2 linked regions of the Cricetulus griseus genome follow. The protein of the gene in region 1 purifies or fractionates together with the protein of each later gene. This does not show direct contact. Links are inferred from orthologs where the notes say so. Each region holds a gene or a part of one and is shown on either strand. Other genes may lie near its edges.

The links.
Region 2: the proteins of Ehmt1 (region 1) and Ctbp1 purify together in Homo sapiens (affinity purification with mass spectrometry; 3 studies listed by BioGRID and IntAct, counting the BioPlex papers as one, with this or other methods). This does not show direct contact. The link is inferred for Cricetulus griseus from reciprocal best matches to the Homo sapiens genes EHMT1 and CTBP1.

What each region holds. Positions count from the first base shown.
Region 1 is NC_048599.1:136,262,587-136,279,012, reverse strand, and holds the start of Ehmt1 (histone-lysine N-methyltransferase EHMT1), read left to right. Parts: upstream 1-7,914; 5' UTR 7,915-7,955; coding exon 7,956-7,976; intron 7,977-16,426. Other genes in the region: Arrdc1 (arrestin domain-containing protein 1), read left to right, coding at 111-293, 391-567, 646-1,084, 1,143-1,216. UniProt on the Homo sapiens protein: Histone methyltransferase that specifically mono- and dimethylates 'Lys-9' of histone H3 (H3K9me1 and H3K9me2, respectively) in euchromatin.
Region 2 is NW_023276807.1:102,300,080-102,315,892, reverse strand, and holds part of Ctbp1 (C-terminal-binding protein 1), read left to right. Parts: intron 1-1,165; exon of another isoform or gene 1,166-1,351; coding exon of another isoform or gene 1,352-1,358; intron 1,359-3,749; coding exon 3,750-3,904; intron 3,905-5,756; exon of another isoform or gene 5,757-6,835; coding exon of another isoform or gene 6,836-6,907; intron 6,908-9,053; coding exon 9,054-9,198; intron 9,199-10,104; coding exon 10,105-10,311; intron 10,312-15,813. UniProt on the Homo sapiens protein: Corepressor targeting diverse transcription regulators such as GLIS2 or BCL6. Has dehydrogenase activity. Involved in controlling the equilibrium between tubular and stacked structures in the Golgi complex.

The sequences.
Region 1 (16,426 bases):
TCAGCCTTCTCAGACCAGGCAGCCAGGATCTGCAGGCTGAGGGCCTGTCCACACGCCACAGGCATGCATTCTGTACTCACTTCATAAGCTCTGCCCATTTTCACTTTAAGCAACCCAATGTGGCCTCCACTACCAAGAAGTTCTCCTACAAGTTGGTGAAGACGGGCAGTGTGGTTCTCACAGCTAGCACTGACCTTCGTGGCTATGTGGTGGGACAGGTGCTTCGACTGCAGGCTGACATTGAGAACCAGTCAGGCAAGGACACTAGCCCTGTGGTGGCCAGCTTGCTCCAGGTCAGAGCCCTCTGGCTTCCTAAGCCTGTCCCTTTCCCATGGGGCAGAAGGGGTGGGTTGCTGGTCTGCCCAAGCCCACAGTCTGGTCTTTCCTTAGAAGGTATCCTATAAGGCCAAGCGCTGGATCTATGATGTGCGAACCATTGCAGAGGTGGAAGGTACAGGTGTCAAGGCCTGGAGGCGTGCTCAGTGGCAAGAACAGATCCTGGTGCCTGCCCTTCCCCAGTCAGCCCTGCCTGGCTGCAGCCTTATCCACATCGACTATTACCTACAGGTTTGGTGTTGCCCAGGGCTGGGTGGCCTGAGGCTAGGTGACCTTGGCCTGACTCCTCAATACCTGCATTCTTTCCAGGTCTCCCTGAAGGCACCTGAAGCCACCGTGACTCTCCCACTCTTTGTTGGCAATATTGCTGTGAACCAAACCCCACTGAGCCCCTGTCCAGGCCCAGGGTCTTCTCCTGGGGCCTTGTCCTCAGTTGTGCCCTCTGCACCACCCCAGGAAGAGGCTGAGGCAGTGGCTAGTGGCCCCCACGTCTCAGACCCAGTTTCCCTGTCTACCAAGAGCCATTCTCAGCAGCAGCCACTGTCAGCTACTATGGGTTCTATGTCTGTTGCCACCATTGATCCCTGTGTTCAGGTTGGAAGCCCTGCTCGACATTCTCTGCACCCTCCCTTGTGCATCTCTATAGGTGCCACTGTCCCCTACTTTGCAGAAGGCTCCGGGGGCCCAGTACCCACCACCAGCGCCTTGATTCTTCCCCCAGAGTACAGTTCATGGGGCTACCCCTATGGTGAGTGGGAATGACAGGGGCTGGGGGAGGAAGTGAGGGTGCCTTGAACCCCTTGTAGATCCTGCTTTCTCTCCACAGAGGCTCCACCATCTTATGAGCAGAGCTGTAGTGCCAGTACAGACCCTGGCCTGATCCCAGGGAGCTGACCCTGGTGAGCTAACCCTTGCCACCTTCTTCGGTGGACCTGGCCTTTGCCCTGGGACAAGATGCCCAGGGCCTCGTGCCTTTGCTCTCTACCTGGCCCAGCTACTCAGGACCTGCAGCCGATGGGACGACCCCTTGTGGACCAGCCTCTCCTGGCTCCTCTGGAATTAATCAGTCCTCTTCTCGAGAGGATGGGGTAGGGCGGCAGGGATCTGGGACCTGGAGAGACTATAAATAAAGCGCTTTATTTGTAGAGCTGGGCAAGTGGCTGGTCTTCACATCCTAAGCCTAGCCTCAAAGTGGACACTCTGTACAGACTCCGATCCTGAAGAATACAAGCCCTTAAGCTCCTCCTTTGACCTCACCTCTGAAAGACACCCTCCCACACACACCAGAGCTCCTTCCTTCACCATACCCTTCAGGAGGCAACCTGCCTGCCCAATCCTACCTCAGACTCTACTTCAAGCGTATTTATTCCTCACCTCATTGGCACCCCACCTCTATATTCCCTGAGAATGTGACCCCGATAGAGCCGTGCTAGCCACTCCTTTCCACGTTTAAGTTTTAATTTCCCCACTGTCTGTTTAAGGATATTCCTGGTGTTCTTGGGAACACTCTGGCTTGCATTCCAAACCATTGTTCTAGATGGTGTGCTTGGAGGCCTGGCCACCAGAAATATTCATGGACTTGTTAGGAACTTGCTTGCAGTAGAACTCTACTCTTGGGCATGAGGTCACTGTCAGCTCTGAGCATTGTTGTACACACAAGACCTTGAAGCTATGAACTTGGTCCCTAGAGCAAGAATGAAAGACAAAGGCTCCTTGGAGCAGCATTTCAGAGGCACCCTATAGTTGCCTTCATACTCCTTAACATCTCTGGTAACAAGCACTGGTCTGTTGTCCTTTACATGTAATGTTTGCACTGGAAGTGGTTACTGTGGAGTTGGTTAAGTTTCAGTTCTGATGGGAGAGAGCGGCTTTGTTAGGCATGGTGGCCACCTTTCCAGTGTAACCAACAACAAGCTCACAGACTTTCGGGAAACAAGGTGTACTAGAACGCAGGATACTGGCAGTGCTCAGCCAGTATCCCCAAATTTCACATCACTTAACCAACTAGGTCTGCACCCCAATGTCTTTAGGAACATGTTATTGTCTACTCCTTGCAACATGGTCTTTCACTGGGCAGCCACATACCTGGCTAACATTTGATACTGTGGGACAGGTAGGTCTTGGAGAAAGGCAGAAAGTAGGCCACAGATCTCTTAAACACCTTCTGGAAGCGGTGTGGCCTACAGTTGAAAGAAGAGCTTGCGTTTGAATCCCACCTTGTCTCAGGCTGGGGGCATACACTCAACTCCCTTACTTTGGTTCACTCACTTTGAAAATGGGAATGGGAAGCAGGCTTGTCCCTCAGACATACCCCACCTGCCTAGAGCAGGAGCCACTAGATAGGTAGTCAATGGTCACTAAGTTGTAGTGTGATTATGGCTAACTGCAAATTGGGTGTGGAAGGGTCTGTAGCCTTCTAACAGGTCAGTCACATCTTATTTGTCTGGTAAAAGGTTTACTCCTATGTTTCAACCTCTTCAATATTTGTTTTGTTGTTGTTGGTTTTCTTGTTTTATTTGCTGGAGGGTATTGTTGTGAGCACTATGACACACAAAACAGTGGTCATACACCGTATGTCATGTAAGAGTATAGGGAGCCTGGCAAGGTGGTGAGCATCTTTAATTATAGCACTTGGGGGCAGAGGTAGATAGATCTCTGTGAGTTTGCGGCCAGCTTGGTCTACATGATGAGACTCTAACAAAACAAAAGGTAACACCCAAAATAAATAAGAGATAACATGGAGGGGAGAGGCTGCAGAGAAAAATACATCCAGAATAAAAGATGAGAAGTGAGGAGAGCAGGTAAGGCTTTTCTGAGGCAGCTATATTTAAGGCACAAAGGCTAGGAAAGAAGCAAGCTATGCTGCAGTTATCTGAAACAAAGGTCTTGGGGAAAAGGTGAGATGGAGAGGTGGATTGGGGAAGACGGCTCTGTTTGGGCCATGGTTACAGAGGACTGTGCATGACTGTTTCCCATGACCTCCACAAGGGCTCCGTTCATCATAAATAGCCTTAACTCAGCTGTCCTAAAGAATCCTCGGTACTCACTGGGTACTGTCCATTTTCTCCTCTGTATGTGTATGAACACAGTGGTCAACTTAGCAGAACCATTTTTCAGTCTGTGATACTGAGTCTAGGCTGGTTGTCAAAACTCAAGACTTCATTATTTTTTGCCGATGAAACCTCACTTTTGCTTCTTTTTTGACGTCTCAGATGGGAAAGACAGAATTGTTTATGGAGATGAGGTGGCCTAAGATAGTTCGTGTGGCACTAGGTTTTTAGTCTAGTAATGATTATTTGGCCCCGTACACAGGAAGCTTGTGTCTAGCAGAACTTTGGGTAACCAGGGTGAGCACACTTCCTAACTGATGCACAGGTCCCAGCCAGACATACCCTCCTAACCAGAGCATCCATTTGTCTCCTGATTGCTGGGGGTGGGGAGTGGAGGGCTTGCCATCTGGTGCATTCCTCCATGTTGGAATAGCCCCCTCTTGTGGGAGCAGACGTCCTATTCAGGAAGTTACTTCCCTTCAGTTGGAGCATCCTCCCAACATGGCAATCTCCCCTGTGTACCCTCTCAAACTTGTAGAAACATCTTTCTGAAGCAGAATATTTCCTACAAAGTTAGGACATGCCCTTAACTAGAATTCCTTCTCGAAACTGGGACATTCCTCCTAACTGGGGACACTTTCCGTCCAGGACTTTTCTTCAAGATAGAGTGCCATCCTTTACCAGCACTCCACCTCATAAGCAGAGAAACCCTTCCTGAGGTTCCTTGTTGAGGTGTCTTCCAGGATACAGCTCAGAATGTCTGGTTTCTGGAAAAATCAAGGAAATAAAAACGTGTCTGTGATAGGAGGTTAAGACTCAGCCTTTGCTGATGATTGTGGCAGTATGCCTTTAGTCCCATCACTCAGGAGGCAGAGGCAGAGAGAGCTCTGAGTTTATGAGGCCACCTGATCTACAGAGGGAGTTCCAGAACACCCAGGGCTAAATAGAAAAACCCTGTCTTGAAAAACAAAAGACTCAAAGGCTCCTCTGATTAGCCTAAATTGTTCTTCTAATTTAGAAGATACAGTAGCATCTCCTTAGCTGCAAAGACTCCCCTGTGGATGCCCCAATCTGCACATAGCATGGTGTTCTGTATATATTTTATTGTTATTTATACATATGATAAAGTTTATAAACATGACATAAAAAGAATTTAGTAACACTACTAACAGTAGATCAATTCTGAGACTACTGTAACAAAGTTTCATGAATGCAGTCTGATTTCAAATCATCTTACTGTTGTGTGCTCACCCTTTTATGGTGATCTGAGGTGATACAATGACTGTATGAAGAGTTGAAGTGAGATAAATGGTGTAGGCATTACAACACAGGTTACTAGTTGATTGGCAATATGTCAGGAAAATCAGTTGGTGAGTCATAACATCTAAGATTTGACGATGATATAAATGGCTAAGGATTCTCAATAACAGAAGAATCCCCTCCCCCCTTCTTTTTAAAACAAACATTGCAACTGGAAGTCTTCTGTCTTTACTTTTTTTGTTTGTTTGTTTGTGTTTTTGTTTTTCGAGACAGGGTTTCTCTGTGGCTTTGGAGGCTGTCCTGGAACTAGCTCTTGTAGACCAGGCTGGTCTTGAACCGCCTGCCTCTGCCTCTCCAGTGCTGGGATTAAAGGCATGTGCCACCAAAATTCTTTACTTTTTAATTCATCAAAGTGTTGTAGCAGAAAATCATCTTTAAGGACTGGAGAGAAGACTCAGAGATTAAGAGCACTGGCTGTTCTTTCAGAGATCCTGAGTTCAATTCCCAGCAACCACATGGTGACTTATAAACATCCTATAAGGAGATCTGGAGCCCTCTTTTGGCCTGCAGTCATACATGCAAAAAGAAAATTGCCTTTTAGTTACTGTACAGGTAAAATTTTAACTTTATAAAATTTTTTTTATCCAGGCTAGGTGTAGTGGACCATACCTGTAATCCTACTCTTCAGGAAGCAGAGGTAGGAGAAACACTGGAAGCTTGAGGCCATCCATGCTATGCAGTGAGACCTCGCTTCAAGAATAAAACAAGCTAGTTGTGTGGCGCTTGCCAGTAGGATTTGTTGAAGGAGGCAGAAGCAGGAGTTTGAGGACAGCTTGGGCTACACTATACATTAGGAGCTGGAGAGATGGCTCACTGGTTAAGAGCATTGGCTGCTCTTCCCGAGGATATGGGTTCAGTTCCCAGCACTCACATGGCAGCTCACAACTGTCTGTAACTCCACTTCAGGGGACCTGACACCCTCACCCAAACACAAATGCAGGTAAAACATCAATGCACATAAAAATAAATCCTAAAAAAGAAGAAAACAAAGGCTGGAGAGACGGCTTAGTGGTTAAGAACACTGAATGCTCTTCCAGAGGACCCTGGTTCAATTCCTAACACATGGCAGCTCACACCTGTCCATAACTCCAGTTTCAGGGGATCCTACAACTCTCAAACACACACACACACACACACACACACACACACACACACACACACACACGCAGGCAAAACACCAATGCACATAAAAATAAAAATCATTTAACAAAGTCATACTATTAAAAAATAATAAAACTGGCCAAGTGGTGGTGGAGCACACCTTTAGTGCCAGCACTCGGGAGGCAGAGGCAACTGGATCTCTGTGAGTCCGAGACCAACCTGGTCTACAAGAGCTAGTTCCAGGACAGCCTCTAAGCCACAGAGAAACCCTGTCTTGAAAAACCAAATTAAAATAAATAAATAAATAAAACAAACCTTTAATTCCAGCACTCCAGAGGCAGAGGCAGGTGGATCTCTGTGAGTTTGAGGTTAGCCTGGTCTACAGCGTGAGTTACAGGACAGCCAGGGTTATTACTCTTTCTCAAGAAACTCTCAAGAAACCAACCAAATAAATAAGACAAACAAAAACCCCAAATAATACACATTTAAATCAGCCTCTAGTGGTGAGGCCTGTCATCTCAGGAACAAGGGAGGCTGAGTTAGAAGGAGAGCAGGTTCAAAGATTGATTAGACTCAGGGCTAGCCTGGGCAACCTAGATCCTGTCTCACAGGAAAGAAAAGAAAAAGAAAAGCTTTGGGATTGTAGTTCAGTGATCAAATGCTTGCCTAGCAGGTGAAGTCTTGGAATTAAATAAGTCTTGGACTTATACCATTTGTCTTTCTTTTAGGAATCAAGTTCTTTGCATGTAGCACAGGGTTCTAGTGCTGGGATTAGAGGTGTGTGCCTCCATGTTTGGCTGTGCTGGTGACTTTACTACTGTGTTCCATCTTAGGAACACACACTATAATTTTACCCTTAATTAATCTTTGAAGTTTGAAATATTTCAGCCAACTTTTACTCGTGTATCCATTTTTGCCTCTGCTGCAGTTTATCTTCCTTAGATGGCTTAAATTCTCTAGCACTTTCACCTTAATCCCCTTTTTCCAAGTCTGCTTGAGATGTGGTAGCACATTCAAATGTAGAAACAACCTTTCCACTATATAGAAATTCTCTATTCTCTCCACATATAATATTAATAATATATGTACATATTTATTTACTCTCTAGTCCAGACCCATCTCTGAATCTGTATAGCCATCTCTCATTTGCAATAAAATGGCTTGGTGTCTCCTCTTTATTTTAGGTTCCCCCTTTCAGAAGTTTTCATATAGCCTCAGCACTTTTTCTGGCATAATATATGTTCCTCACTGGAATACATATTTCATATAGATACGTACAGATACACATGAATTTACATATTCTTTTGAGACAGGGTGTTTCTGTGTCATGAAGCTCGCTTTGTAGACTAGGCTGACCTCGAACTTAACAGAAATCCGCCTGCTTCTGCCTCCAGAGAGCTGAGATTAAAGGCGTGTACCACCACGCCCATGTCTCTTTATCTGCAAATCTAACTCCTTTTCCATATTAGCGCCTATGCCCTGTGGCTTTAACTTTTGTTAAACAGAACTAGCACAGTTTCTTTCACAGTTTCATGGAAGGTGAGTTCTTATCGTTGTTGTTATTTTGGCTACCTTAGCGTTAAGACTCTTACGGAAATCTCCTGCCTTTTCACTTAAAGGAAGCGCTTTATGCTTCTGTAGCATTTTGGAAAGGTGACATCTATTAAATAGAATAAGGGCTGTCGGGACCTAAGTTAAAAGTCAGTGTGGAAACCCAGCTGGCTAGTGACAGTCAACAAGCCAGTCACGTGTTGACGCGCGCGGGACAAAATCGACAACCTTGCAGAACCAAGCTGTCTCAAGAATGACGCCTAACCGGAAACCTAGGACTAGCTTATTTCTAGAACTTTCTAAGTAATACTTTTGGACCGCAGGTAAATGGAAGGGAGCGAAACCTAGGAAACGGGAAACGGAAACCTCGGTGAAGAAGTCTCAGCGCCAGGAGCCCAGGTTGAATTTCAGCGCGCAGGCGCCACCTGGCCTCTCCTCCAGACGCAGGCGCCGCACGGCCGGGTCTGGGTGCGCAGCCGCGGGTGCTCACGCAGGCGCACGACTGGCCGGCCAGCCCCGCCCCGGTCCTAGGCCGCGAGGCGCGGGCGGGGGCGATGGCGCGCGGGAGGGGCGGGGCCACGCTGCGGGGCCCGGGCCATGGCCGCCGCGGATGCTGAGGTGAGGCGCGGGGCCGGCGTTCGGCGCCGGGGCGCGGGCCGCGATCATGATGGCAACAGCGGAGGCGAGAGGGCAGGAACCCGGGCGTGCTGCGATCTGGGTGGGGCCGCGCGCCTCCGCCGTCTCGGGCTAGGCAGCGCCGAGGCCCCAGCGTCCGGCCCGCGCTCCGCCGGCGCGCTTTGTGCGCGGCGGGCCCGAGCAGCGGCGGCGGCGGCGGCGGCGGCGGCTGCGGCGGCAGCAGCGCGGGGGCGATAGGAGGCCGTGGCCCCGCATCCCGCAGCCGCGAGCTTGACTGCGGGCGGGTCGGAGCGGGGGTGGCGGAGACAAAAGGCAAAGTCGAGCGGGCCAACTTGTGCGTGGGGAGCTGAGGCCGGCCTGCGCCTGCTGCCCCGCGCCGTGACCTTTCACTCGCCGCCGAGAGCGTGGCACCATCTTTAAGGAAAAGTTGGTTAGTCCCGCTCGTCTCCCGCGCACAAAGCCGCAGCAGCAGGGTGACCACGGGCAGCACGCTCGACAGAGGAATGTCTGCGGACCCAAGTTTATTTCTTCACCGATGGCATTAAAGCGGCGGGGGACGGCGAGTTAGCGTTCTTTTGTTCGCGTGGTGGCCTTCCCTCTGCTCTTTCTGCGGGATAGTTTGCTTCCTGGTTTTTTTGTGGCGTAAACGTTATGCCCCGGCGAGAGGGACCGCTGTCTTCCCCAAGCTGAGAGGCCGGCAAGGAGTCGGGGTCCGCAGAATGCACTAGTGTTGTGTTCTCAGGGCCGAAGTACGCGGCCGGTTTGGAAGAAAGTGTAAACATAACAGTTTTCTTCCGAAATTAGCCGCGGGAACAGTTAGCTTTTGGGACTTGCAGACCTCAGAAAGTGAAGGTGTGGTGAGAAGCTGGCACATGTGTGGTGCGGTGCATAGGCTCAGCAGTACATTTTACCCCAGATAATGTATGGTCATTGAATTTCTTTTCTCTTGCCTTTTTGAGTGGTATTCATATAAGTGAACGGCGAGTTTTCAGTTCTAATGCAAGGAGGATTTGTTGAGTACTTAACAACGTTCAAGAACTGACAGGCACCAGGAACACAAGTGTGTAAGAGATGACCCTAAGTCATTTCCAGGCTTGTAAGGAAGGAATGATTCTCATCTTTTATTGAGCACTTGATGTGTCCCAGGCATTGTTTAAGCCCATCAGAGAAGTTACCTCATTCATTTTTTTTAATGACCTGTGCAGCGGGTACTGTTATTTCCTATTAGCAGATGAGGAAAATAAGACCTTGCAGGGGTAAGTAACTTTGCCTGGTCAATTGTAGGCCTGGCCATTTTTCTTCCTTTTTACACAATAATTTATGTGTATATGACTGTTCTTTTTGCATGCGTGCCTGCATGACAGAGGAGGGCATCAGAAACCATTACAGATGCTTGTGTGCCAGTATGCTGGGAATTGAACTCAGGACCTCTGAAGAGCCGCCGGTTCTCCTAACTGCTGAACCGTCTTTCCAGCCCCATTTTTCAATATCAGGCACATAATTGGTGTTACTAATTGATGGAGGAAACTGAGTGGTAGTGCATACTTGTTATCTTAGCACTTGGGAGACTGAGGCATGAGGATTGCATGTTCAAAGCTAGCCTGAGCTATAAACCTCCCATCCCCCAAGGTGGAAGTGTCAGTGGCCTCCAGTTATCTCTGATTTCACAGGCAGCTTACATAGAGTGTGTGTTTGTTGAGCCTGTACCTCGTCCCAGCCCCACTGTAGGACTCCTGTGCATTATGTGGCATATAAAAATGACAGTGATTTCATTTTACCAAGTAGGTTCTCTGGTATCCTTTTTGCAGACGAAGCCACAGGCACTTAGCCCCAGGATTACAGAGGGTGTGCTTTAGTTGAAGATAACAGATCTGTGACTACAGAGCCCATGTTCGATAGCTATGTGTTACACCTGTCTTTGGATTTATGATTTTAAGTGTTTATCATGGAGGCACATGGTAGGGTGAGGGACACTTGTCTTTTATCCTGTTGGTCCTGTGGAATAGGGTAGGTTTGGGCTCATCCTCACTGAATTTTTAAATATTTACTGGTTAGGGTTCATTAATTGTGGGATGATTAACCCATCAGCACTGACACTTGGAACTTAGATCTAACTGTGTGTTTGTGTACTACTGAGGTCTTGGAGAGGTTTATTAATATATCCCCTATTCTCCATTTTTAATATTAATGTGGGCTCCTGCACTTTTTGGGTTTAAAATGTATGTCCTGATAACAGAATCAGAGTGTGATACATAGGGTTTTGTCTTAGCAAAAACATTATCTTGCAGCAGGAGCAAATTCCCAAACAAAATCTGTACTTAGCAGAGTGGCTAATATGTATCTTATTATTAAGATTAAAAAATTATTTAATTTTATGTGTATGGAGTTTTTACTTTCATTTATGTTCACATGTCTGGTACCTGTGGAGGCAGTGCAGCCCCTGAAACTGGAGTTAGGGTGGTTGTGAACCCATCAAGTAGATGCTGGGAGTTGAACCCTGGTCTTCTGGAACAGCAACAAGTGCTCTGACTGTGGGGTCATCTCTCCAGTCCCAGTGTTACCTTTTTTTTTTTTTTTTTTTTTTTGAGACTGAGCCTTGATGTGACTAGCTTGGAACTCATGACAGTGTATTGGTATATTATTTACCATGCCTACCTGTATCTCTATCTCCTTTTTTTTTTTTTGGAGACAGGGTCTCTTCATGTATATGAGGCGGACCTCTGACTTGCTATGCTCCTAATATTGACCTTGAACTTCTGATCCTCCTTGGGTCACAGGTGTATATTACCATATCTAGCTTTGTTGTTCCTTCAGTCTTAAGTTTTAATTTAAGACATGCATACCTGTGATTTTAGCACATGGAGGCTGAAGATCATAAATTAGGTTAGCCTGGGATACTTTGTTAGACTTTGTCTCAAAAAAAAAAAAAAAAAAACCCAAAAAACAAAACAGCCAGGTGTGGTGGGGTGTGCCTTTAGTCCTAGCACTGGGGAGGGTAGGCAAATTTCTGAGTTCAAGGCCTTCCTGGTCTATAGAGGGAGTTCCAGAACTGTGAGTTCTACAGAAAAAAATCCCAAACACTAACACCCCCCAAAACAATTTTTTTTGTTGTTGTTTTTTAGAGTAGTATATGCATGTATAATTTTAAAAGTCAGGGCTAAGAGACATTATTGGAAACTTTGGTTTTCTACAAAGGCAGTAGCAATTTTTAGTTCTTTAGTGTTTACTTCATGTTTCTGAATGCTGTTGTTATGTCTTTACTCAACCAGCTATAGGGGATTATCTGTGTATTGCCAGTAACAGAAGATGAGGAATTTAATTCTTTCAGTCTGTGGTCACCTGCTAGTTAGAATGGACATTATCTTGAACTGGTGTGCAGCATTGTCTTTGGAGTTTAGCCTACCTTCCTTGCTCTTGAGAGTGCTCTGCTTTATTCTGGTAGCTGCTTAAGTAAATGATGATGGGGCTGAGGATGTCGATGAATTGATAGGGTGCTGGGCTAGATTAAACTGGGTGTGGTAGTGAATTCCTGTAATGTCAGTGGTAGGTAGGTAGAGGCAGGAAGAGTAGAAGCTTTAGGTCATCCTCAGTAATGTAGCAAGTTCACGACAAGTGTGGGTTCCAGGGGATGCTGTCTCAAGAAAAAAAGGGTCAATGGCTATGAACCTTGTAGAACTTTACTACTGTCACTCTTGAAGAATATGTTTGGGTAAGCATGAATTCCTGCTTGGAAGTCGGTTATGAAGGATTTGGTGTGTGTGTGGGGCATGGTATGGTGCCAGGGATTATTTGTTTTTATTTATTTTTTTCCTCTGAGACATGGTTTCTTTGAGTAACAGCCCTGGCTGTGCTGGAACTCTCTTTGTAGATCAGGATGTCCTTGAACTCAGAGATCCACCTGCCTCTGCCTCCCAAGTGCTGGGATTAAAGGTGTGCACTACCATTGCTTGGTAAAGAATTGACATTAGGTTTTTGTGGGTTTCTTTTTATTTATTTATTTTTTTTGATTTTTCCAGACAGGATTTCTTTGTGTAGCCTTGGCTATTCTGGAACTTGCTGTGTAGAGCAGGCTGGCCTTGAACTCAGCGATTTGCCTACCTCTGCCTCCTAAGCACCAGTATCAAAGGTGTGGGCCACCACCACCCAGGTACCTAGGACTTAAATGTATGTTCAGGATTAGTGAGGACTTGAGACCTCTATGGTTCACAAACCTTTTGTCTTAACAAAATGTCACGAATGCTAAAGCAAGAACTCTACCACTGAGCTGTTGGTACCAAAGGTGCTTGTCATCATTCTTGGCTCCAGTGTTTTTTTTTACTAAAAACAGTTTTTTGTTTTGTTCAAGACAGGGTTTCTCTGTAACAGGCCTGGCTATCCTAGTTTGTAGACTAGGCTAGCCTTGAATTCACAGAGATCTGCCTGCCTCTGTCTTCTGAGGGCTGGGATTAAAGGCGTATGCCACCACCGCCTGGCCTGTTTTTTTTTTTTTTTTTTTTTTTTTTTTAGAGTAACCTTACTTGCCGGTAGTAGTGCATGCCTTTAATCCAGCAGTTGGCAGAGGCAAACGGGTCTCTGTAAGTTCGAGGCCAGCCTGGTCTTCAGATCGAGTGCCAGGATAGGCTCCAAAGCTACACAGAGAAACCCTGTCTTGAAAAACCAAAAAAAAAAAAAAAAAAAAAAAAAGGTAACCTTACTCTATGTAGACCTAGTTGTCCTTGAACTCACAGAAATCCACCTGGCTCTTGCTTCCTGAGTGTTGGGATTCAAGGATGAGCTACCACACCTGGTTTGTTCTGTTAAAAGATTTACAGAGAGGGGGAGAAAGAGGGGGAGAGAGGGGAGGGGAGGGAGGGAGAGGTGTGTTTGTGAACTCAATATCTGGTCTTTGCATTCAAATGCAAGTCTCTGGAAGGTCTGAAGAGGGCATCAGATCTGGAGCTGGAGCTACAGGCAGTTAGTTGATTGTGAGCTGCCTAGTGTGGGTGCTGGGACCCAAACTCAGGTCCTTTGCAGGAGCAGCAAGTGCTCTTAACCTTTGAGCTATCTCCCCAGCACCTGTTTTTTTCTCATGTGTTAATATCTCTTTCTTTCCTTCTTTGTTTTTTGTTGTTTTGTTTGTTTCATCGTTATTTATTTATTTATTGTTTTTGAAGACAGGGTTTCCTTTGCGTAGGCTTGGTTGTCTTGAAACTTGTTCTCTAGACCAGATCTGCCTGCGAGTTACTGGGATTAAAGGCGTGCGCCACCAATGCCTTTAATATTTCTTTTTGCTTTAACACAGTTGTGTTTCTCCCTTACATATGTAACAGTATGTAAGAGCACAAATGCAGGGCTTTAAACTGATTATAATTTATGTTTTATCTTTCCTAATAATGCTATTATGAATGTCCTTAATTTTTTTTATTTTACATTTATTTATGTGTGGATGCATGTGTGAGTGTGTGAGAGATCAGAGAACAATTTGCTAAACATGGTTCTTCTACCTTGTGGGTTCTGGCTATCAAACTCGTTTATCAGTCTTGGTGGTAAAGTGCTTTTACCTGCTGAACTACCTCACTAGCCCTGTAGTGAACATTCTTGTACCTTCTTTTTTTTTTAAGATTTTATTTATTTATTTATTTATTTATTTATTTATTATGTATACAACATTCTGCTTCCATGTGTATCTGCACACCAGAAGAGGGTACCAGATCTCATAACTGATGGTTGTGAGCCACCATGTGGTTGCTGGGAATTGAACTCAGGACCTCTGGAAGAACAGCCAGTGATCTTAACCTCTGAGCCATCTCTCCAGCCCCCTTCTTATACCTTCTTATATGTACAATTGTGTGTTTTTTTTTTTTTTTTCCAGAGTTGATAAAGTTGAATGTATTTTAAGTCAAGCCAATTTCAGCTGCTTGGGAGGATGATGGAGGAGGATTGTAAAGTTGATCTTTTTTTTTTTTTTTTTTTTTTTTAGAGAAGGTTTCTCTGTGTAGCCTTAGCTGTCCTGGAATTCACTATGTAGACCAGGCTAGCCTCAAACTCAAGAGATCCACCTGAGCACATGTAGTCTTTTTTTGGCTTTCCTTATTTCCAGTGGAATAGTTCATTCCTACCCCTTTTTATGCTTGCCTGTCCTCAAGTGTGGTGTGTTTTTGGAAGTTTTTAAAAAGTATTTTTTAATTTTGCTATGCTGTACTTGGGTATAGGTCAAGAAGAACTTTCGGGATGCTTTGGGAATTTAACTCAGGTTGTCAGTCTTGGCAGCAAGCATCTGTACATAGTGAGCTATCCTGCAAGCTTTGTTCCTGGAGCATTCTGTAGGGTCCAACTTCTAGTCTCCGGTGACTCTAGAATGTGATTTGCTTGTTTGTATTCCACTTTGACTATCACTGTTCTCTGTACCTTTCTCTGTCTGTCTGCATCAGTCAGTTTGCTTATTACTAATCATCCCCTTATTTAAATTTCTCCTTTTCTGTGTCATGTAGTGAGTTAGCTTTACTTTAACTCCCTATTCAAGTTTTTGTCAGGTTTTTACATGTCTCCTAGATAGACATGTCAGGTTTTATTTTTTTCCTGTTTTTTTTTTTGTTTGTTTTTGATAAGAGGAGGTGGAAGGTCAGAAGCATTTATTTTAAATGTGAATTTTTTTCTTTTTCTTTTTGAGACATATCTTCCCATGTAGCCCTGACTTTCCTGGAACTTGTATAGAACAAGGCAAGCTGCTTCTGCCCCCAAGTGCTTGGATTAAAGTCACTGTGTGACTGGTTATAACTATAAATCTTGTTAGTGGATTCTCATCTGAATAGTTACTGTGTACAGGGCTGCTTCTCTGGGTGGAGGAGAGATGGAGAGGAGAGAGAGAGACAGAGAGACCGAGATTGATTGTATACTTTGTGATTGGAGTGCATATTGGCTTAACAGACCAGCAGAAATAATGCTTCATTCAGCCCTGACATCATAGGACATCTTTAGGTAGTTTAGTTGAGCTAGAGTGGAGGCTAGCACACTAGTTTCCTGCTTCTGCCTCTGTCACAATAATTTGTTTGGCCATATTTTATGGAGTTTGTCTTTGCTTTAAAATAATTTAGCTTGTAAGTCATATTGAGGATTTTTTTTTTGTTGTTGTTGTTAGTGCTGATGTTGAGACAGTTTTATTGTATAGCCCTGCCTAGCATAGACCTTGCTATTCAGAACAATTTATCCTTAAATATGTAGTAATCCTTCTGCCTCTACCTCCTGAGTGCTGGGGTTACAGGCATGTACACTACACCCGACTTTTGGTTTTTTTGAGACAGTGTTTCTCTGTGACTTTGGAGGCTGTCCTGGAACTAGCTCTAGTAGACCAGGCAGGTCTCGAACTCTCACAAGTGCTGGGATTAAAGGCGTGTGCCACCACCGCCCGGCTACACCTGACTTTTTGTTGTATTGCATTACATTTTTGTGAGACAGGGTATTGTTAAATTCCTTTCCACGAGTGAAGGGGACGATGCTGGTATTCAGGCAGGGAAGCAAACTATGAAGAGGTAAGAATAAAAACTCAGGTCAGATTGACTTCGTCAACCTGGATCAGACTTTGGGAGTCTTCCAGATGCTTCCTTGTCAGCATATTTAAAATACAGTACAGTTTGGGAAAAAGTTTCCAGGCAACAATCATTCCAATTCTAGGTACACAATAAAGCTTAATGTGTCACTACTTAGAAACTCCATTACAAAGTGCATGTGAGTGGGTGGGTTCTATAGCTAAAGGGACTAGAATCTAGTGGTCTCTAACCTAAATAGCGTAAAAGTCAACAGCCATAAAGTACAGGTGACATCTCCCTTAAGGATGGATCCTATTGACCAAGAAACAAAGCTAAAGGTCTATGGAGGGAGAGACTGGGATAAGCATTCTGAGGTTGTTTCCGGTGAGGTCTGCTATAGAAGCGTGGATCGATCAAGATTCACTGGACTAAGCTCAATATAGGTTAATATAATTTTATTCTGGGAGAAGGCACTTACACAGGAAACAGATGACCACCGCAAGTTCCTGCTCCAAGGATCTACACAGGTTACTCTGTGACCCGAATGGAAGAGAGCCACCTGTGCCCCAACCCCATACCTAAAACCACTCTCCCTCATGACTGCACTTGTGACCACGAGGTTTGGGTGTGAGTGGGGTGGATATCTCACTACAATTCCTCTTGTCTAAAGAAAAAGATTTAGGCTTGATACAAAACTATATACAAAGATAGGAAATACCAGGTGTCTCTAGGAGAAGGAAATGTAAAAACATACACACTTAAGACTATAGCCAGTGAAGCAACATAGAGCAAATGGCAAGAGCTATAGTCTGCCTCTATAACAAAGGGTAAGTGAGGTCTGCCTCCAAGGTGTTAACAATATCCACTCAGCCTTCTGGGTGGAAAATAGGTAGTTTCTCCTTTGAGAAGAGTGCCCTGTGTGTTTAG
Region 2 (15,813 bases), on another chromosome or scaffold:
AGCATTCTGACTTCAGGTCCTTTCCTTCTGCAGTGGCGCCTTAGCGCCCTCTGCTGGGAAAGTCTATCCTGGCACCTACTGAGGGGAGAATTGGGCCTGTGGCAGGTGCCTGGCACGGGCAGGACTGTGACTCAAGGACATTGTTGCTGCTTTATTGACAGGTTCTTCATTGTCTGTAGTGTTTCTCAAGTCTGGGAATATCCTGGAAGCCAGCACTGGGCACATGTGCTGGGAACTCACAGAGAGAGCATGTGAAAAAGTTTGTGAGCCTTCTGGAAGGAACTGTCCTCAAATACACTGGGTGCTGGGTCCTAAGGCCCCGATCTGCCTTGGATTGGTGGCCACATATGGCCTTTCTGGATGAGCTTCCAGAGCCTGGGTTGACAAGTGGTCTTGTCTCTTGGTTGTGTTGAAGGGTGTCATAGCCAGACTCTATCCTAGCCAGCCTGATGTTCAGCTAAACTGAGGGGTTGGCCCCTGTTAGGAACAGGGACCAGGGCTTTGGCTGCTCAGTGACTGACACACACTTCAGAGGCTGGGTTTTTGTGCTCACCTGTAATAACCTGAGTCTTTGGGCTATTGGCCCTGGCAAAATATGTTTGGATGTCATGGCCTCCATTTTCAGCATAGCCAGGCAGCACTTTCAGGTGAACCAAGTAATTGTTAGCTGTGCAGGGACTGGGAAAGAAGTTGGGTGGAATGCTGGAAAGCTAGCACCTGGCAAGCTTTCCTGATAGCTTTGCTAAAAGATCTATGTTGGGGCATGGTTGGGATAGCCTTAGATGTCAGGAAATGTAAATGTAAAGGAGAGAGTCCCAGGGAAGCTAGTAGACCCCTTTCTGCAGTTTCACAGCCCTGTACCCAATGCTGGCTGCTTTTACCTCCCAATTTGAGAACACTGTGGAGTCTGGGCTGAGCCAGAAGTCTGATGGGGTAGCCAACTACAGAGCTGTTCCTAGGTTCACACAGATGACTTGGGCTTGCCCCAACCTGGGATTATGAACTCAGTGAGTGAGTGTCTTGCTGTCCGGTTGATCTTCCGCAGCTGTGACTGGACAGGGCTAAGGTTGTAGGACACAGCTTCTCTCTCATGGAGCATCCTGGAGTCTGAGCTTTAGCTGGCCTTTGATGGCATTTTAACTTGTCTCTTGTGTTTGATTTTTAGTAAGACTTTGAACCCGACGCAGGCTTCAGTGGCTGCTGTGGAGCAGAAGCCTGAGAGCTTTGGTTGGAGAGAATAAGACGTGGGATGAGGCTCCGTGACAGAACGTGGTTCGGCCTGGGGATTCTGAAGACAAAAAGCTTTGGACAGGCGAATTCATGGTCGTGGAAACCCCGCCCCAATTAAGCAATGTCAGGTTGGTAGGGGTTGCCAAGTGAAGCCATCTCTGTGAGGGAACTACAGGAGGGACTTGGGCTGCACTGCCATAAGCTAGGCAGGCTGACCCATGCCTGAGGAATGTGCTTGGTGTTTGCAGGCTGCCTTGGCCAGTGGCCATCCAGCTACTGCGCTAGGGGTTGGTTTCTGTCAGAAAAAGTGTCCCAAGGGTATGGAGGTGGGTGCTGAGGTCAGGTCTTACCTGAAGGAGCTTGAGGGTCAGTTCTGAGGCTGTGCATGCCCCAATGCAGACCTGAGATCCTTGTTTCTTGTCTTTTCTGTCTTCTGCCTGGGAAAAGTTCTTAAGTAAGCTCAGCCCTGGGCTAGAGCTCCTGCATAGCATGGGTCCAGTTAGTAGATCTGTGTCTCCTGGATGGGTTTGTTTGGGAAGACCCTAGGGCTGGAGCAGCTCTGTGAATGAAGAGGTGGCCAAGCCCACCAGCTTTTAGAGGGCTTGGACTTTGGTCCTCCCATATGAATCTTTGGGTGTCATACCCATCATTTAGATGAAGATACAGGCTCAGACCCCAGCCTAGCCACACCCACATCCATAGGTCCTCTCTGAGGAGTTGTTTATAGGGCGAGAGAGTGGGGTTTCCACCCAGGCTGGGCAGGTCCTTGATGAGGTATAGGCCACTTCCCAGGCAATAGGTTCAGGCTGTGCTCTGAACCTATTGGACTTGCTTTGTAGCCTTAGAGGATTTGTGGACATGGGCATTGCTCACCACATTCTTATAGAATGTGGTGTTCAAGCCAGGGAATGAGAAAAGTAGATGTTTATCAACTCTTTTAAAATAGCAGTAAGTCTGTTACCTTCTATAAAAAGTAATACTTTTATGTGAGAAAAGCCACTTTGCAAGTCCGAGTTGGAGGACAAGTGGATTGTTGTTTTTCCACCTCTGCTGTCTGGTGACAGGGGTAGCTAGGGATGTGATCCATAGGGGTCAAGGAAGGAAGTATGCAAATGCCAAGCCTGTGACCTTGAAGTCTGGACCATCAAGTCTTCGTACCTTTACTTTTACAGTTTATGAAGGACTGGTGTGTCCTTCATATGTGTGTCTTCTCATAGTCACATTGACTCTGGGGAAGGGCTGTGTATAGCAACACCTCTGTTCCACAGCTGGAGTCCTTGTGCTTAGTGTTGTCTATCAGGCAGCTCCATTATGGGTGGTCACTGAGACCTGTGTCACAGTCCAGGTATCCAGTTCCAGACTGGAAGCACTCAGTGATTTTTCACCAGCCCTGTTAAACATAGGTGTGACAATCCAAAGGACATTGCTTTTCTGTGACATGTGTTCTCTGAGGCACTTACTTGGCACTGGCAGCTTGGGGCAGCCTCTGCACCTGGAGGCAAGAAAGGTGACTGTGAACTCTACTGCAGCTGTTGCACGGTTACCTTTGGCCTGCTCAGTGGGAGACTGTGGTGACTTGTTTCTTGCCTTTACCCCCCCCCCCCCACTGTGCCTACTCCATGGTCCATACTCCTGGCTAACTCTTTTGGAGGCCCTGGGGCTGGACAAGGTCCTGCCTGGTGTTGTCTGCTACTGTGGAGCTACCTTTGGTCTCCATGAGGTGTCTGCTGCCCTGCCCAAGGTGGCTATAGTACCTGGGACTACTGTGTTGGCTGTGTACTTGTGAAGCCCTTGGTACTGTACTTGGCCCCATGTGGGGTCTAGTTTTTTAGGGTGTCGTGTTAGGAGCAAGCTGATTTCATATCCATAAAGGCTTTTGTGGAGCTAGGAAACAGACCCAGACCTCACACTCACTGGGCAAGTGCTCTTTGGAGTTGCACTCCAGGCCTAAGGTTCTTTCTCACCTTGGTCTGGGAGGTGGGTTCTGAGAGTGTGGTAGCCCTTTTTTCCTGTCGCAGTTTTTTGGCCCTTGAAATCTACCACTAGGAATGATACCAGGTTGGGTCACATGCTAAAATCACTGTGGTCTCTCTGTGGGGTTCTGGGCAGTTACACAGTGGTTTTTAGGCAGCAAAGAGTGAACAGGCACTTTCCTGAATCATATTCTTTTGTGTCTGCACATTTTTGTGTTGACAAGATAGCTTACAGCTGTAGGATGCCAGGGCTGAGGTGCCTCCTACCTCCTCTGTACCCTTGTCCCCTATATCCCCACTAGGGTCTCCAAAGATTTCAGGTCCTGCGCCCTTGAGGTCTGAGTCCACTCAGTCATCAGTGAAATGTTGCAAACTCCTATTTCCTTCTTCCTGGTTTTAATTTGCTTTCTACAAAGCCTTGTGTAGCCAGAGGCTGAGTGCAGTAAGTTCTCAGGGCTGATTTCCCCAGCCCTAGTGGGTAATACAGTTCTCAGATCATAGACTAGAGCTGCTGAGGGCATTAAGTGGTCTGCTCCTTTCTTGCAGGCGTCCGACCTCCCATCATGAACGGGCCCTTGCACCCCCGGCCCCTGGTGGCGCTGCTGGATGGCCGGGACTGCACAGTGGAGATGCCTATCCTGAAGGATGTGGCCACAGTAGCCTTCTGTGATGCACAGTCCACACAGGAGATCCATGAGAAGGTAGTGTCTTAAGTTGGCCAAGTTTCATGGGGTACAGGGGGGCTCCAGAGCATGGGCCATGCAACCTCAGGCTGCAATCTCAGTCAGCACACAGCACTAGTCATGCTCCTTGGTCTCTGGCAACAGTAGGTCTAAATACCACAAGGTCTTGTATGGCCTGTCACTGTGCCTGGCCTTGTCAGGAGGTAAATATTTCTTACTCTGTATTTTCTTGGTTTCTTACATCACAGCCAGTTATTAGAAGAAGTGGAACTGTGGGCATCTGCCAGTGATTATGCTGGATGCTACCTGGAATATAGCAGGTCACAGTATCTTTACCCACAGTACCTACGGAGAGCTTGTTGTTGGGTGGTTAGCAGCTCTGAGCAGCTTCCGTGATTCATGTTTGCTCAGATCTGTTGGGTTCTTCCATGACCTGGAGTGTGCTCATCTGGTTTCTGGTTGTGTCATAGCCAATTCAGACTTTGCACTGGAGACAGCTTGAAAACATTCTTTACCACAAATCTAAAAAACCTTCAGGAGCTGACAAGGTAGAACCAGTCAGGGATTGCAACCATGAGCGACCTGGCATCTGCTCTTATGGACAGTCTGGTTGGGTAGCCTGGAGATTTGCTCCTCTGGGAGGAGTGGTGAGCTCTGGTCTTGGTGGCATCATGGCCTTGGAGGGTGAGCCTGTTGGCCCATTGCAGATGTTGCCTCAGACCCAGAGAGCAGTGAAACCCGTATCTGAATGTACCTTCACCTAGCCTATTACCCAGCCTTGTAAGTCTGCCAGGCATGGGATTTAGCATATAGTGGACCTATAGCCCTGCTCCCCAGGGGCTGTAGAGTCATCTGGGACAGTCATTCCAGCCTGGCCTCAGTATGTGTCTATAGTCTTTGGGCACTCACTCAGCTATAAGGAGGCAAGGCTCTGTGAGGAGAAGAGAGCTTCTCACCAGCAGGAACCCCAGTTTGACTGTGGGGTGGGCTGCCTTCAGGCAAGAAAGAGACAGTGCTATCTTGGGGTTCATGTAGCAGGTATGGGGGAGCAATACAAGACACAGAGCTGTACTATAGTAAAGCTAAAAGTGAGAATCACTCCTTTGGGCATAGTAAGTAGTAGGGAGGAAGGGATCAGAAGTCCTGATTCTTATGCCTTGTGGTGAGAGTGGGGAATGGGAGGAGCAAGGAGTGGGCAAGGTAATAGAATCCATAACTAAAGAGGGAAGGAACTAGATGCAAAAGCTGGAGACACTGTGGTGGAAGATTTCCCCAGACAATAGGAAACTGTGTTAGTGAAGGGCCTTGAGCCTGTGGCATGGCATGGCATGGCATGGACAGTAGTCAGTGGCACTCTGTATTGATATACAACCTTTCAGCATTCTAGCAGCCTTTGTAGCAGACATGACATGCACTATCATCATCATCTGTATTTGAAGGTATGGCAGCTTGATTCACAGTAGCCCAAATTGGGCAACCACCAGTACCCTTTGGTGATATGGCTGTGAAGATTGTATCCTGCCACAGATCCTGCCTGACTCAGGAAAGGGGTGACCTATAGGCACACAGCACCTTGGGTGTATGTCACCTTCCCCCTTTTTGCTGGCCGGCTGGAAATCTGATATGATGGCTGAAGCCTTGGGTAGGTACCTTGTACTATAAGAGGGAAGCCATATACTGGTAATGGTATAGCTACAAGGCAAGAGTCTAGTACCCAAATAACTATGAAGATGTAACTGAACGTGTGGGACACCTGTCTCTAGATGTGGGAAGTAAGTAACTGTCTTATATATTCTTGTTATGTGGGAATTTCCACCTTTTAGAGCAAGAAGTCCTCACAACTGGCTGAGTGTCACTGTCTACATTGCAGATGAGAATGTTACACTATCAATGAAGAACATGATGAAGAAAACTTCCCAGAGACCTTGGCTCTTCTGCCATGGACCCAGCAGGACTATGAGAGGGGATAGGAGACGCCCACTGGGTGTGGGAAAGTCACCTTGTAGCAGGAATCTCAAAGCACCCCTGGGCTGGGTGCTGTACAACTTCTCAGCCAAATGACCTTCAGCCCAGGGCTACATGGGCCCAGAAGGAATCCAGGGAGACACTGCTCCCAGCATGTGCTGAGTGAGGACTTAGGGCAGCAGGAAGTCCGCACTGGAGATGGGAGAATGATACTTCATGACCCATGGGTGCAGAACGTCCCAGGCCAGAGGAAGTCCCCTTGCAACTATGATGTATGAAAAACAAGTGGTCAGAAGTGTCTCATGTCACCAGCAGGCTGCTAAGGCACTGGCCTTGGGCTCAAGTTGCAGACACATCTGGAACCAGGACAAAGGTTGAGAGGAGAGGTTTCACTGTGAAGGAGTCCATTACCATGGGTCAACAGGTCCCCCTTTCAGAGTGTGCTGAGATTCTGAGACCCATTGTTAATGCCTTGATGGTGCAGAACAGGGGACCAAGGGATGTGTGTGGCCCTCAGGTGTATGGACAAAGTGCTGGTGAACTAAGTTACAGGTTGGAATGGTGTTCTGGTTGGATGGCAACAGTTAGAAGAGCAGGAGGAGGGTGCTTTTCTTACATATCTACACAGAGAAGACTTACACAGCTCTACAAAGGAATCTGTAGGCATGCTCAAATGACAGAGGAAAGTAAAAAGCGGGAAAATTCAGTGAGGTCAAGTGGGCACTGCCCTTTGTGCCCTGGCCCAAGGGTCCCATGTAAGACCTTCAGGCCCTCCCAGTCAGCAGGAAAAGGAAATCCTTACAGAAAGCTGGCCAGAGAAGCACTGCTTATGTAAACCACTTCAGCAAGCCCCTCTTTGGCACCTTGAAAACTCACAATTCACCACCAGGTGGCCAGGTAAACACTGGCCCAGCAGAAAGCCTGGATGCCGCTTCCTCTGTGGAGAACAGCTGCAAAGTCCCCCCGTGATTCTGAAGTTGGATAATGTGCAGAGGCTTCAGCCAGCATCTGCTCTGCTTGTATTTGACTGTCAGCAGAAAAGTATCAGGCATGATGGTGAGGTGGGAAGGGCTATAGTTTCACATGATAGCTGTTCCTATGCACACCAGGTGACAAAACCATCTAGTGTGGTTTGTATCGTCAGTGTTCTCTCAGAGAGAGGTTGGCACAGTGTTGTCCTGACAGGGAAACCTCACTGTGGTTTGGGGTGTGAGCCCCATTCAGAACTTGCTGCCACTGGGGACACTCATGGCCTATTACCAGCCAAGGGTAGCTGACATGCATTAGTCACTCATCGTATGCTATACCTGCTATGAACATCTGGGACCCATTTCTGTCCTTCCCATTCTGGTATTGAGGACACCAAGTGCACTAGGGCCAAATCATTAACATGATCATACGGTTGGTGTATGGGGACATGTGAGAGCTTGCTTGCAGAGGGTATTCTTGGTGGCCTATCATAAGGGGACAGGCCTAGTGGCACCTACCTTCAGCAGACTTCCTTGGAAATACTAAAGGGAATATAGGAGAGGTACAGGGGGTGTGGATCTGTGGCCAACAAACAAACAAACAAACAAAGACACCATGAAAAAAATTCATGGAGAAATATGGATGGGCAGGTTTTACCCAGGAAGGCAAATTCAAGCACCAGTAGTAGATGAACAGTAGACTGTGTTTTAGATATAGAAAGCTCAGTGGTGATATTAGAAAGTCAGTGGACAGTTAGACAACAGGGTCTAGAGCCTCAGAGGACCCTCCATTTCTAGGAAATTATCTCAAGGAAATAAACACACTGGCTTTTCTCATGGAAGAGTGATAGTCAGTGCAGTGGAAGGTCCAGATGCTTTGATGTCACCCTTCCCTGCTGGAACATTTGCAGGACATCGAAAACATGTTTTTGAAAGACATTACTCTCATGGCTAAGTGCTAAGGATAAGAAGTAAGCTGGCTGTCCACATATACACATATTGACATTCATCATAGACCTCCAGGGTATGGATCTGTCCTGTCCACAGCCAACCCTTTTCAAACACAGTGAGGGACCCGTGTCAGGTGTCAAATCTGTCCCTAACTATAGACTTATTCCAGTACTGCCCCAAGATCTGCATTTTTGGTCTGTACTGCTGTACCTGCCATGGGCCTCAGCCTCACCTGTCCTATGGAGCTGTCCAGGTCCTTCCTGTGCTCGTGATTGCCCATCTGAAGTCCATGTGGCACAAAGCTGTCAAGGACTTCCCTAAATCTCCCCTTATTTCCTGTGCTGTCTCAGCTGCCCATTCTCTATTTACTCTTTCCCACATGGGCTCTCCGTGACTCTCCACTGTCAAATGGGTACCTACTTTTCCACACAGGTCTAAGTAGTATATGTGGTCCTGATCCCCTCGAAGCCAAGGGCAGCCATCAGTTCTGGCCCTGAGCTTAAGTACCCTAGGGGCCACTCACTCCAGCATTTCAGAGGTCCTCATTTCAGCCTCTTAGCGTCTTCCCTCAGTGCCTGGCTTTTTCTTCCTCATGTAGTAGTCTAGATGGCCCCTAGACCCAAAATGAGTGGAAAGGCTACTATCTCCACCCTTGTGGGTCTTCATGACTGGTGAAGGCCATTCTCCCTCAGTGACAGTTGTCTACATTCTGAGTCATGCACCTGGCTATTGAGGTTGTGTAGCTGTAGCAAAGGGATACTGCACCAGCCTTTCCACATGGAGCAGCCTCCACCCCAGAACAATACCCTAGCTCTACAGCCAACCAGATCAGCAGGAAGTACAAGTATATAAGAGGATAGATAGCAGAGTTGTCTTGTTGCAGGGTGTGGTGCTCTCTTAGAGGCTGGCCCTGCCAACTCCCAGTTGACAAGTGCCTCTGGATATGCTTGTTCACTTGGGTCCTCTTTGTACTTTTCCACAGAGACTAGTGTGTACTGGGCCCCATTGTTTTGGGCATGGAGTCTGGTTGCTTGCAGGTGCTGCTGCTAGTTCTTGCCCTTGGACACTACCCACACCCTCTCTGCTGAGGCTCTACTGGTAGCATGCTGCTCTGTCTGAGACAGTTGAGAGAACACAGCTGCCTCTCCATTGTGTTTTAATATCTTCCATTGTGTTCCCTATGCCTCTCCTGCCTCTCTTTTCGAGGCAGGCCACTCAGAATTTTTGGGTACCTTTGGTGGGTCCTGGAAGCTTAGTAAGCAGCCTGTTTTCCCTCCATGCAGGTACTGAATGAGGCTGTGGGTGCTCTGATGTACCACACCATCACACTGACCAGAGAAGATCTGGAGAAGTTCAAAGCTCTCAGAATCATCGTCCGAATTGGCAGCGGGTTTGACAACATTGACATCAAGTCAGCTGGGGATCTAGGTAGGAGCTCTGAAGTCCCTGTTTCCATTGACCAAGATGTCTCACTTAACCTTCAGGCTCTATTAGACAATCAGTAGAGCTGGGACTGCTCCTTGAATGGAAAGGTGATTTGGGCCTATGGGTAGGGCAGGTTGTGCCAGGCAGCACAGGATGTGGGTACAGCTTCACTCATTGTGTTGTCACCAACCTACCAGGCCCTAGGGTTTGGTTGAGACAAGGGGCCAGTCGGGGAGATCATTGCCCTCCTCCTAAGATAACAGCAAAGGGAATGTGTGCTAAAGCCATGCATACATACACATGAAGCAACAAGTGCTCAGACTGTACACACATGAGCACAAATCTGTACCTGTGCATGTATTTATATTGAAACAGCATAGTCATACTTTACCATTCTAGGGTAGCCTGTTTTCTGTGCTAGTAGCCTGCTGACAAAGCCAGGCTACACTCTACAGTGTATGTTGTTGACGTCATTCTGCTACTCTGCTCCTTAAGGCTACAGAGAGAGGCTAGAGCTGACCTGTCTGGGAACCACAGGGCAGCTGAGCACTTCAGTAGTGTGTTGGGAAAGTCAGTCTTGTTCTGTTGGTTCATGCTGCCCTGGCAAGCCACAGGGGCCAAAGCCTTGGTGGCTGACCTGTCCCTCCCTGGGCAAGGCCCTACCATTTGGAATGATCAAGGCAGCATTTGCCTGTCCTCTGTCCTGTTTGCTTGTTAGCTGCCACATCTGTGTTCTGCAAGGCTGTGGGTACAGGCTTAAGTATGCCTAATGACATGTAGTCTCCTAGGTGGCTGTGGGACGTGTCCTCTGACATATTACTACTGTAGCACCACCCTGAGGGTAGGACCTCTGACTGTGGATGACAGGAGGCTATGGACCTGGTACATGTGTCGCCACATATCTTGTAGGCATCGCAGTATGCAATGTGCCCGCAGCATCTGTGGAAGAGACGGCAGACTCCACCCTGTGCCACATCCTGAACCTATACCGACGAACCACCTGGCTGCATCAGGCACTTCGGGAAGGCACTCGGGTCCAGAGTGTAGAGCAGATCCGAGAGGTGGCTTCAGGAGCTGCCAGGATCCGTGGAGAGACCTTGGGCATCATTGGACTAGGTACGTTGGCCACTGTGACTCAGCACAGATAGCCTGTGCCCATCTGCTACCCTTCCACTCCATAAAGCTGAGGCCATGGACTTGCTGGTTGTGTTGCTGTCCCCAGCTCAGCATAAGATATAGGATAAGTAGTCCAGGGGCAGGGCCAGAGACACCAGGCTATGTGTCTTACAGATGCCATCAATGGAGGTCACGTAAGAGTACAAATGAACATCATACATGGATGGTAACATGCATCACATGGGGATTAAACAGACATGGTGTACACATGGACACACTTAGATATATGCACAGTCTATACAAATGTTGTTGCATACACACTCACTCCCCACAGCTCTGGTGCAGTTGAGTGGGCATGACCTCGAGGCCCGTTTCTACCTTGCTTAGGTTATCATTGGTTCCTATGCTCCCTGGCTTGTTCTCACAGCCATCACCTTTTTGTGGGTACCCATCTGTTATGCGTACCATAGAGATGGCACAGTAAATTGTGCTAGAGTTCACCTTTGAGGGCTCCCTTGTTACCAGGCAGCCTACCCTTTGCTGACCCTGGCTGCATTGTGCTTCTGCCTTAGCCCTGCTGCCAGCAGCAAGAGATGGGAAGTGTGTGTAGGTCACCTTAGTTACAGGAAGAGGTGGGCCTGGGATATGGTTGTTGCTGTACTAGTGGACATGCATAGCAGGGCTGTTTGACCCTCCATGGTTCTGAATGTGCCCTTCCTGTCCAGTGTATAGGACAAGACAGCACCTCCTACCTCAGGGTCCTAGTGCCAAGACGTGTTGAAGGATGGAAGAAAGATAAGCATGGGTGGAATAAGGCATAAAGGGTATTGCTGGGCAGGTCTGGGTGGTCAGAGCATCTCCACCCTCAGATCTTGCCCTCGGGCAGTTTGTTTGGTCTCCATCTGCCTCTGCTTTCATCACTAGTGTTTAGGGCCTGAGTCGTGTCCTTTTTGTACCCTCTCTTGCAATGCCAGTTTGTCCAGTATACCATGTAGCTGCCACTACCTATTGGCCTGCTGTTCCTTCTGCTGTGTCAAGCTGTTTACTGTAGCCATCCCAAAGCTCCCTAGGGCTCAGGATACACGGATGGTGACATATATCCAATGTGGATGATGTAGATGACACAGACATGATTATACATGTAAACATACTTGTGTGTGAGTGTACAGTCTATACAAGCAAGGAGGGTGAATTTTGTCCCCTCGGGACACAGCAAGGGCTCCTGAGTTGTCACACCTACCTTGAGGACCCCCTATTCATATGTAATTGCTGTCTACCAACTACAGTACAGGTCTGAGGCTGGTTTCCACACACTCTGGAAGGGAGATGGGCACGTGTCCCAGTGTCCCTGTATCTCCTGCTCTTCTCTTCTGCTACCTGTTGAGGCTGTCTCCTGTGTGGAATATGGTGATTAGTTCTTGGTTCATCAGTGAGGCCACATAGGCAGTGTGGGCTGTAAGTTTTGGTTCTGTAATGGATGTGCCAGCTACTTTCCCTGGCTATTGGACTCTACACCCATAATGCCTGCCTGCCTTCTTTTCCTCTTATAACTGAAACATACTCTGCTTCTTTCATGAGAGTATAGAATGTATTTCTGTCTGAGACAGCCCTGTACTGTTTCCAGCAAGCCCTCTCTGCCTGTGGTCTTTGTGCTCTGTCTGGCACAGCTTGCTAGGTTCATCAGTCCTGGTGAAATGGAACCACAGGGCAGGGACCCTGGGTCTGTGCTCCTTCAACAGACATAAGGTTTCAGGTCTTCTCCACATACCTGTCTTGCTCGGAAGTTCTTCATGTTGAACAGGATTCTATTGATCTGTTTAGCCACTGGACAGATGAAGCTGCTGTAAACAAGTGTAGACATGCCTCTTTGTGACATGTGACACTGTTTTTCTTTAATTTAACCAGAAGTGGAGTGACTTGACAGAGCAGGCAGGAACCACCAAGGCATTCTTCAAGCAGGTGTGTGTCTTTGACACTTCTTAGCTGGGTACCTGCCCTAAGAGTTTGGACTTTGCTGACACTTAATTAATGTCAGCATTAGTGCTGCCCCTTACGTTTTCATCTGCACCTTTCCAATAGCTGAAGTGTCTGAGTGCCTTTCTTGCCGGAATGCCTGGCCCTTAGAGAACTTGTGCCTGTGTTGTGAAGCATGGTGCCTGTTGTGTTCTCTTTGGTTTGTCCTGGTGTGCATCTGCAAGATTCCATCTGTGTTCTGCCTCAGGGTCTCATCAGACAAGCATATTGACACCGTGGTACCCACTTAGTAACTGTGATGAGGACAGATTCTGGTTCTGAAGAAATCCAGCTTATTACTTGTAAGTTGTTACCATTTCTGTTCTAAGTAGTCTCTGCCTTCTCTAGTGCTATGCAGATACTGCTTTCTTCTGGAAGCTTCATAGTTTTGATTTTTACAGGTCTCAGACCACCTGGAATCATACGCCTTACCCAGTGCTATGAGTGTATTATTCCAGAAATGTAGGCAAACATGTTTGTGTCTTTCCACAGTAACAATAAATTCACAGGGCTCAGTGGTTGTAGTGGCAGCAATTTGTTAGATAATTTTGCCTCCCCAGTAATCTGGCCAAGGTGAATGCAGGATTTATTGTTTGTTTGTTTTTTGAGACAGGATTTCTTTGTGTAACAGTCCTGGAAATTGTTTTGTAGACCAGGCTGGTCTTGAACTCACAGAGATCCACCTGCTTCTGCCTCCTTAGTGCTGGGATTAAAGGCATGAGGCACAACTGCCCAGCTTGTTACTCCTAACGACTTAATTTTAATTGGACCCATTCAGACTTAGAAATAAAAGCTCCCAGCAAGGACATCCTTCGTCTCTTGGCAGTCTGTTCCTTATGGTGATATATTGTTAATGATCTAATAAAGTCACTGGAGATCAGAATGCAGAGCCAGCCACACTGCTTAGCTATAGAAACTGGGCAGTGGTGGCACACAACTTTAATCCCAGGACTCAGGAGACAGAGACAGATGAATCTCTCTGAGGTCAAGGCCACCCAGGGTTACAGTAGAGTAAATCAGTCTAAAAGATTAACAGAGCTCACGCCTTTAATCCCAGCACTAGAAAGTATATAAGGAGCTCAGTGCAGTCTCAGAGAGCAGTCTAGGATTCTGAGGTTTGGTGTAGAGCAGTGCAGTCTGGAGATGTAGTCTGAGGTTCAGTGGATCACCCCTTTGGTCTGAGCATTGGTAGTGGCTTTCTAGTGGCTGACTGCTTTGCTTCTCTGATCTTCAGCTTGAACCCCAATATCTCTGGGCTTTTATTATTCATGTTACAAATTAGCACCCAACGTGGGGCTTGAACCCACAATCCTGAGATTAAAGAGTCTCATGCTCTACTGACTGAGCTAGCCAGGCTTCAGAGGCTTTGGAGGGAAATGCACAGGATTGCCCCCTCAGTCTGAGCTAGAGGTAAGAACTGTGGCTGGCTGTTTATCTGATCTTCAGCTTGAGCCCCAATATTGGTCTGTGCGTTTTTATTATTCATACTACAGTTCCTGGTGTTTTCTTTGGCTTCTTTCATTCTTTTGGCCAAAAGTTTCACATATTCTGCAGCCTCCTCATTTTTTTTAGAGCTTTGTTTCTTTAGAGCTGTGTGTTGGTGTTTGTGTTGCAGAACACATGGAGTAACAAGATGCTGAATCTTGGGGGCTGGTTATGGTCCTGGGCTGCTTATCTTCTTTGTTTCTTTGCTCTCTGAAAGTATATTGACAGATGTCTTAGTTACTTTTCTATTGCTGTGACCAAGGCAAATTATAAAATAAAGTATTTAATTTGGAGGCTCATGGTTCTAGAAAGTTGAGTCCATGACCATCATGGTGGGGAGCATGGTAACAGGCAGGCAGGCAGGCATAGTGCTGGAAAAGTAGCCGAGAGCTTACATCTGATCCACAGTCACAAGGCAGAGAGAGAGAGAGAGTAATTCTGAGTATGATGTAGCTGGGAGTGGTGTGGGGTTTTGAAACCTCAAAACCCACCCTCAGTGACACACTTTCTCCAACAAGGCCGCAAACAGTTCTACAAACTGGGGACCAAGCATTCAAATATATGAGCCTATGGGAGCCACTCTCATTCAAACCACCACAGCAGACATCATTTTACTTAGATTGAAAAGTTTTAGATTTTGCTAGCTCTTTTGGTCCCTAACTACCACGTTGTACCTGTCAGTCTGGAAATAGCCTCCCTCCCTCCCTTCTTCCCTCCTTCCCTTCCTCCCTCCCCCTCTCTCTTTCTCTTTAAACAATAGCCCAATTGAGAACACTTAGATTAGCATCCACAATGCAAAGTTGATCAAAATTGTGTTTCCTCTCTCCAGTTCTCTTTGGTCTATAACAAGAATGCCTTTACTTAATAGAAGACACACTTTGCTGTGGGTCAGAAGACCTTGCTTTGTGGAAAAACCTTGTTTGTCATTCATTTCTTTCTTTCTTTCTTTCTTTTTTTTTTTGGTAGTGGTTTTTCAAGACAGTGTTTCTTTGTGTAACAGCCCTAGATGTACAGGAACTTGCTCTGTAGTCCAGGTTGGTCTTGAACTCACAGATGTCTGCCTACCTCTGCCTCCAAATGCTGGTATTAAAGGCATACACCACCACACCAGGCCATGTCATTCATTTCTGATAGCTCCACTTTAGAATTAGCTCATCAGTTTGTGTTTTGCTTAGTCCTTGTATTGTAGGAACACTGGTCTCTGAAAATCACACATATGTCCTCAAGACATACATGAGCCTGTTATTTCATGTCTTGATTTCTCTTGGCAGCATTCTGTAGTGATCAGTACAGAGCATTTTCATAGAGCTTGTTAAACTTGCTAATGTGTTTCCCCTATGCTGGTGGCAGAATCTAGGCGACGTGTTTGGTGTAACTACTGTAACAATATGTGTGTTTTAATTTCCTGTGGCATTTAGAAACACACTTGGTTTTTGCATATTGACCTACCCTGCACTTTCCCCGAATTCTGGTTTGCAGGTTCTCTGGGCCTTTCTCAACCCTGAAGGGTCACCTGTCATGCACTGTGTGCTCTCTCCTCTAGCATTTCACTTGCTTCCATTCTTTGTTCTTGCTCCTTTGACATTAGCTGTGATGGCCAGTGCTTTATAGGATAGAAGCCACAGTGGGGTAGCTCTGTCATTTATTGTGGCCTCTTATTGTCACCCAGCCTGTTAATGTTACCATACAGCATTCTCTGACTGAATGGTGGTATGGCACATCTTTTCTCCTCCTTTCCCAAACTTGATTGTCTTTTGTTCTTTAGAAGGCTTTTTTAAAATTCCATTTCCTTGCTGCTTTAGTTGGGGTCATTTCTGTTGGCCATTGTTCTGTCTTTGGTGTTAGACCTTCTAATGAGTTCTTTTCTGCAGATACAACTTTTCCAGCTCTAGAATGTGTATCCATGTCTTTTATAGAGGATAGTTTCTCTGCTGGAGTTCATCGTCCTCTCAAATTTATCACATGTGCCTATGATACATGTTCTCAGCATCTATCAAAAGTCCT